Linked DNA regions of Anolis sagrei. The protein of the gene in region 1 purifies or fractionates together with the protein of each later gene. This does not show direct contact. Links are inferred from orthologs where the notes say so. Each region holds a gene or a part of one and is shown in the gene's direction. Other genes may lie near its edges.

Region 1 (3,919 bases):
TTAAAGAGCATTCTGAACCCCACTAATGATAGAACTGGGTACCACACAGAACCCCCATGACCAACAGAAAATACTGTATTTTCTGATGGTCTTTGGTGACCCCTCTGACACCCCCTTGCAACCCCCACTGGGGTCCTGACCCCCAGGTTGAGAAACACTGCTGTAGAGGAAAAGTGTTCCTGCCATACATCAACGGAACCACTGACTGCATAGGGAAGCTGATGAGGAAACACAACATACAAACAATCTACAAACCCACCAAGAAAATCCAACAAATGCTACGTTCAGCAAAGGACAAGAGGGATCCTCTCACCTCTGCAGGAGTCTACCGTATACCATGCATCTGTGGACAAGTCTACATAGGGACCACCAAACGCAGCATTGCCCAAACACGAATCAAGGAACATGAAAGGCACTGCAGACGACTCCAACCAGAGAAGTCAGGCATAGCAGACCACCTGATGAACCAACTTGGACACAGCATATAGCCCGAAAAAACCTACAACAACCCAGTGATTCCAGCCATGAAAACCTTGACAATACATTGGACTAGTCTGTTTTCCAGAAGGTCATGGAGGACCTTGTGGAAGGCCTTACTGAAATCCAGAAACGCTACATCCACGGCTTTCCCAGCATCTACCTAGCTTTTATATATGTGTGTGTGTTTGTGTGTCTGAGTTTATCTATGTAAGTTACTGTATTTTTGTGCTCATTTGTTTTTGGGTTTGCTGTACCCCGCCTCCAGCCATCAGGAGAGGGGGGAAACAGATAAAATGATGTTCCTAATCTCAGTCTTTCAGGGAAGGGATGCTCCACCTGAGGAGAGGATGCAGGAGGCACTGACAGGACGGGAAGAAATGGAGGAGAGGAAGGAAGGAAGGAAGGAAGGAAGGAAGGAAGGAAGGAAGGAAGGAAGGAAGGAAGGAAGGAAGGGCAACAAGGCGAGAGTGAGGAGGAAGGCACTCACCGGCAACACGGCTGAGCTTCCTTTGACGGCGGCGACTGCCACCCTCTGAAGGGAGGAGAAGAGAGGGCGGGACCACGCTCGGCCCCAAGATGGCGGCGGGAGGAGCCAGGCTGTGAAGAGACCGCGTTTCCCCTCCAACTACAACTCCCGATGCGCAACAGGCGGGCAAGGCGCGCTCGTCCGACACAGTCTGGCCGCGGTGCACTCTGGGGCTCGTAGTCTCCCAGCGAGTGCGTGCGTTTCCCCCTTAGCTTAAGCGCGCGCTCTACCAATCCCTCCGCGTTGGAGGGGGCGGGGCGTGTTTGGAGGAGGAGGAAGCGCCCCGCCCCTTTCCCTTTGGCCCGCTGACCGCGCTTCCTCCGTCCTCGCGGGGAGTCCCGCAGAACCCAATGGGACTGGCTTCCGTCGCGCGCCTCAGGCCCAGGCGGAGGGAGGTAGGAGCCTTCTCGGAGGAGCGCGGGAAAATCCAGCCTATTCAAATGCAATGTCTTATTGACGCTGTTGTTATTCGGTCGTGCCAAGTTGTGACTGCTCGCAAGCGCCGTCGGAAATAATGGCACCTAATGGACAGCCAATCTGAGTACTTTTCATAAGAAACAATACACTTACAGGGTTGTTGTAGGTTTTTTTGGGCTATATGGCCATGATCTAGAGGCATTTTCTCCTGACGTTCCGCCTGCATCTATGGCAAGCATCCTCAGAGGTAGTGAGGTCTGTTGGAACTAGAAAAAGGGTTTATATATCTGTGGAATGACCAGGGTGGAACAAACAACGCTTGTCTGCTGGAGCTAGGTGTGAATGTTTCAACTGACCACCTTGATGGCCTGGCAGTGCCTGGGGCAATCTTTTGTTGAGAGGTGATTAGATATCCTTGTTTGTTTCCCCTCTGTTGTTTTACTGTTGTAATTAGCCATGCAGGTGTTGACAAGTCTACATAGGGACCACCAAACGCAGCATTGCCCAAACACGAATCAAGGAATATGAAAGGCACTGCAGACTACTTCAGCCAGAGAAGTCAGCCATAGCAGAGCACCTGATGGACCAACCTGGACACAGCATATTATCTGAGAACACAGAAATGCTGGACCACTCCCACAACCACCATGTCAGACTACACAGAGAAGCCATTGAAATACACAAGCATGTGGACAATTTCAACAGAAAGGAGGAAACCATGAAAATGAACAAAATCTGGCTACCAGTATTAAAAAAAACTCTAAAATTACAACAGCAAAACAACACCCAAATACAGGGAAACTCCAGAGAGGAAACAATCTGGGACAGCTAATCACCTCTCAACAAAAGATTGACCCAGGCACTGCCAGGCCATCAAATGCTAATCAAGGTGGTCAGTTGAAACATTCACACCTAGCTCCAGCAGACAAGCGTTGTTTGTTCCACCCTGGTCATTCCACAGATATATAAACTCACTTTCCTAGTTCCAGTAGACCTCACTACCTCTGAGGATGCTTGCCATAGATGCAGGCGAAACTTCAGGAGAAAATGCCTCTAGAACATGGCTACATAGCCCCGAAAAAACCGACAGCAACTCAGTGATTCCGGCCATGAAAGCCTTGGACAATACAATACACTTACAGGCCCCTTCCACACAGCTGAATCAAATCCCACATTTTCTGCTTTAAGCTGGGTTATAAGGCAGTGTGGGCTTAGATAACCCAGTTCAAAGCCAATTTTCTGCCTTGATATTCCAGGCTATATGGCTGTATGGAAGGGCACTAAGGCTAAACCTCTATCCTGACTTCCTCTTTGCATCTTCTGGGGTTATCAAAACACATTATATTTAAACTGGATTATCTGAGTCCACACTGCCATATAAAGCAGAGCATCTTGATTTTATATGGCAGTATAGAAGGGAGGCCCAGGATGAGCAGTTTAAAGGACCCACCCTAAACTACAAACTCCAGAATTCTGCAGGTGGCAGTCACAGCATTTTAAAATGGATTGCAGTGGATAAATACTCATTCTACACAGCTGAATAAAAGCCCACATTTTCTGCTTCAAACTGGAATATATAGCTGTGTGGATTCAGGTAACCCAGGGCCCTTCCACACAGCCGTATAACCCAGAATATCAAGGCAGAAAGTCCCACAATATCTGCTTGGAATTGGGTTATCTGAGTCCACACTGCCATATATCCCAGTTCTAAGCAGAAAAGGTAGGATTTTCTTCAGCTGTGTGGAAGGGGTCACAGATTGTTCTTAATTTTGAGTACTTGCAGGTATATTTTTACCAAGCAATGACAACAAAGTATGCTAGTTTGTCACTCCTTTAGAAGAGTTGCAAAAATTCTTGAGGGTGGATTGGGTGACAGATTGTGTACTAGGTAAACTTGCAAAATTGGTTTGAACTTAGCCCTGGTCAGAAAGTTGTACACCTGTATGTAATGTACTGGATACATTTCCACATTGGTTTGATTGCTATATTTGTCAGAACAATATTATAGAGAAATGAGATGCCATGAATACAGTGGTGTTTGTTTTCTCACAATAGGCCTATTATTGTTTTTCTAACAATAGGCCAATTAAGTGGGACGATGGCAACGCTGTTGTGATGTTATTAATTCTTCTATTTAATTTGTAATATTTGAATCCAATGTATCAAGAAAAAATAATTCTAACCTGAGTGGCAGTATTTAAGGCTGGCTATGTAGGAAACAATATGTGGGTTTCTGGTTTAGGAAAACAGTAGCTGATGTTTGAGATTTGAGACTGATTGTGATTCTGTTCTAATTTTCTGTTTCAGGGTAAATGGGTTTGCCTGACGTTTTTCCTTCACTAAGGCAGTTCCATGTCTTGCTTGGTAAGCATGTTATTATTATTATTATTATTATTATTATTATGTTTATGCTTATGCTTATTTTCCCTGCTTTTTCTCTCCACAGATTCAAAGCGGCTTACATTAAAAGCTTTTTAATACAATTTAATATCTACA
Region 2 (3,919 bases), on another chromosome or scaffold:
CGTGATTCCGCCTGCGTCACAAGCGTGGCTGGTGGGGACACGAGACAGGGCCTTGTCTGTGGTGGCCCCCCCAACTCTGGAACACCCTCCCAAAAGATCTTAGACAGGCCCCTACATTGGCAGTCTTTAGAAAGAACTTGAAGACCTGGCTGTTCCGATGTGCCTTTCCAGAATAGGAATCTCCAATAACAAGTCCTCAAAGCACTTTTAGTAGAACTAAGATTATTGCACACCACACACTGCACTTGCCCTATAATCCTCGTATACCACCTGCCACATCAGCACTTTTAATCCTGTACCCATTACTCTGGCCCGGCCCAGTTTGTATTGTGTCTTGATGTACTGTTTATTGCATGTCGTCAATATTGCTTTACTGTTTCTAATTTTGCTTTTGGTGTTATATTGTTGTGTTGTGTTTTGAGGCCTTGGCCTTTGTAAGCCGCATCGAGTCCTTCGGGAGATGCTAGCGGGGTACAAATAAAGTTAATAATAATATTAATAATAATAGTGCTGACAGTTCTGGAGGGAGTCTTAATTTTTTGTGTCTAATAGACTTAGCATGGGGATTGGGTTAACCAGTTAAAATTCATGAGTAAACCATTTTTTTTTAACCTGAAAAATTGGGGGGGGGGGTGAACCCCTAACACACCAACACCCCCCCTCCCCTCCAGCTACAGGCCTAGCACCTCCCTCCTAGATCTCAAACACCTTCAGATCTGAAACACCACGCCTGGTCTCGAATGACCATGGAATGCAGTTCAGCGTGGGAAACGCTGGCGGCACTTCTCCCTCCCGGCCGCAGGGGGCGGCAGAGAGCGCGCGGAATGCGCTGGCGGGCTCCCTCTTGCTTAGCCGCCTCTCGTCGTCCGCTGTCTCATCCGCTGGTATCCGCCGCCGGGAAGGGAAGGGAAGGGAAGAGCGGAGGCGCGCGGGGCGGGGGAGGGAGGGGCTAGGCAAGCAGGCAGGCAGCAAACACCAGCAGCCCGGCAGGAGAAGAGGAGGAGGAGGAGGAGGAGGGCGGCCGAGGCGTCGCGAGAAGGCCCGCAGACGACGACGACGACGAGGAGACGAGGAGGAGGAGGAAGAGAAGGCAGAAGGGAGAGGGCGCCTTTGGACGTCTCCTCGCCACCAGCGAAGGTACCGTCCTGGCTTCGGGCCTTGTGGGTGGCGTTCGCTCTGAGGGCTCGTCGAGGCCTAGTCTGGCCTCGGAAGGAAAGGGAGCGCCTCTTCCTCCTTTCGAGGACAGTAGCGGCGGCGGCGGCGGAGGAGGCCCCTTGTCTGAGGGAAAGCACAGGGTGTGTCCTCACGGGAACTTGACGCGCGTTCGGTGTCGTCACCCCTCCTCCCTCTCCCCTTCCATTAGGTAACCTTGTCTCGCCGCCGACGCTGCCAGATAACGCCGTTTGGAAAATGAACGCTAGAGACCAGGCCTGGGCCAACTTGGGCCCTCCAGGCGTTTTGGACTTCAACTCCCACAATTCCTAACAGCCGGTAGGCTGTTAGGAATTGTGGGAGTTGAAGTCCAAAACGCCTGGAGGGCCCAAGTTGGCCCAGGCCTGTGGGTCTTCCTTTAACCTTCTCCACATCCTAACTGGAACTGAGGGGATTCATAATCATAATAAATCTTCATTTATTTCCCACTTTTCTCCCACCAAGTGGCTTCCAACATGTTAAAATACAACGCAAAATCGTCAACCATCAAAGACACAAATAAAAAAACATAAGAAGCCATTAGTAAAACGTACTCCACTTTCATCTTATGCCCTTGCTTCTTAGCTACAACTTGCATTATCTCTTTCTCTTCTTCTTGTTTACAGTTGACCATGTTTTTAGGACAGTCGACACTATAGGTTATTGGGCGTCAAATTGTTGTTTTATATACTACTGGTTTATCTTGTAATGTATTGTGTGTTTGTTTTATGTGTTGTTTTAGGCACTTTGTGCCATATGTAAGCCACCCTGAATCCCTTTGGAGAGATGGAGGTGTGGTACAAAAATAAAGTTGTTATTGGGTTGTTGTTGTAGGTTTTTTCGGGCTATATGTCCATGTTCTAGAGGCATTCTCTCCTGACGTTTCGCTACATCTATGTAGACCTCACAATCTCTGAGGATATTTTTTGTTGTTGTGTCAGGAGCAACTTGAGAAACTGCAAGTTGCTTCTGGTGTGAGAAAATTGGCTGTCTGCAAGGACGTTGCCCAGGGGACGCCCGGATGATTTGAAGTTTTTATCATCCTTGTGGAAGGCTTCTCTCATGTACCCGTATGAGGAGCTGGAGCTGATAGAGGGAGCTCATCCACCTCTCCCTGGATTCAAACCTGCAACCTGTCAGTCTTCAGTCCTGCCGGCACAGGAGTTTAATCCACTGCGCCACCGGGGACTCCCATCTCTAAGGATGCTTGCCAAAGATGCAGGCAAAACGTCAGGAGAGAATGCCTCTAGAACATGGCCATACAGCATGAAAAAACCTACAACAACCCAGTGATTCCAGCCATGAAAGCCTTCGATAAAGTTGTTGTTATTATTATTATAAATATAAATTATTATAAGTAGCATTTAAAAATGCCAGGCTGTTTTCCTTCTACAGCAGCAGTTCTCGACCTGTGGGTCTCTAGGTGTATTGGGCTACTACTCCCAGAAATCCCAGCCAGTTTACCAGCTGTTAGGATTCCTGGGAGTTGAAGGCCAAAACATCTTCTACAGTGTAGACGTCCCTTTTGGTGGCGTGGAACACCCAGTGCCTCCTTCTCAGCGTTGTTGTCTTTGTGAGTGCCTCCATTTTTAAATAAACTTTCTTGGCTGAAGGAGCTCACATCTCAAAACATGTCAGGATTGAAGGAGGAAGGGAGGTGGTGAGGTGATTACTCCAAACCGGAAATATTAGTAACCTTTTCTTTCTTTCTTTCTTTCTTTCTTTCTTTCTTTCTTTCCCTCTGTTTTTTTTCAACATGGCCTTTTATACAGCCAACACCAAAGAAAAATGAAAGCCTATTTGCTTTGCTTTTGCAATACTGCATTGTCCAGGAAGAGGCCCAGTTTGAGTTAATTTCACTGCACTCTTCTGAACTGCTAGGATATTTCCATATGTATTATGAATTCTTAGGCTTGTACACTTTTTCAGTCATCCCCCCCCCCCCAAATCATTGCATCATCATAGGAAATCATAAGAGTGAAAGTAATTCCCAAGATCTTTTGGACAGTGTTGGTTTCCTTTCTATTTAATTGGCCTGTTTTATTTCGTAGCATCCCACTGTAAACTTAAGGGGGAAATGACACTTGAGTGCTCTGCAAAAATAGTATGTGATGATCAATACAAGATACTTCTTTAATTCTTGTGAAATTGCTCGAAGAATAATACTGCTGTATTAAGAATATATGTTGTTCATTTTAAGCCTTAGTTAGGTTTTCTAAATCTGAAGCCTACACAGTTAATGAAAATGTATTCCTAAATAAATTCACATGCAAAATGTTATGCAGGATTTGCTTGTTGAAGCATTCATTCCAAGATAACGTATAATGTAAGAGAAAGTTTATATTGTTTATAAACCAGCTGCTGATGTTTTAAACTGATACGTTTCTAGAGTACTAATGCAAAGTGGCTTATACATTTTTGAATCCAACTGTTTTAATACTACACAGGAATGTTCTAGATTGTCATATTATAAAATTCTGATAAAATAATGGACACTCCAAAGCACTAGTAGTAAAATTCTCATGGCTTCTAGTAGATCCCCGTGGCTATGGAAATGGGTTTTTATAACTAAATAAAGCATAATAATGTAAACATGATTTGAAATTCATCAAACTAAATTATTTAAAGTTCAGGAAGAGGAAACTTGAATATAACTATTAAAATAATGTTGTTCCAGTAAATCTGTTCTGCTTGGAACCAAGAGTTGGATTTAGTTCACAAACCTAAG

Evidence for each region.
Region 2: the proteins of STRADB (region 1) and CAB39 purify together in Homo sapiens (affinity purification with mass spectrometry; 3 studies listed by BioGRID and IntAct, counting the BioPlex papers as one, with this or other methods). This does not show direct contact. The link is inferred for Anolis sagrei from reciprocal best matches to the Homo sapiens genes STRADB and CAB39.

Annotation. Positions count from the first base shown.
Region 1 is NC_090021.1:164,586,649-164,590,567, forward strand, and holds the start of STRADB (STE20-related kinase adapter protein beta), read left to right. Parts: upstream 1-1,263; 5' UTR 1,264-1,401; intron 1,402-3,730; 5' UTR 3,731-3,775; coding exon 3,776-3,787; intron 3,788-3,919. UniProt on the Homo sapiens protein: Pseudokinase which, in complex with CAB39/MO25 (CAB39/MO25alpha or CAB39L/MO25beta), binds to and activates STK11/LKB1.
Region 2 is NC_090023.1:228,951,697-228,955,615, reverse strand, and holds the start of CAB39 (calcium-binding protein 39), read left to right. Parts: upstream 1-928; 5' UTR 929-1,137; intron 1,138-3,919. UniProt on the Homo sapiens protein: Component of a complex that binds and activates STK11/LKB1. In the complex, required to stabilize the interaction between CAB39/MO25 (CAB39/MO25alpha or CAB39L/MO25beta) and STK11/LKB1.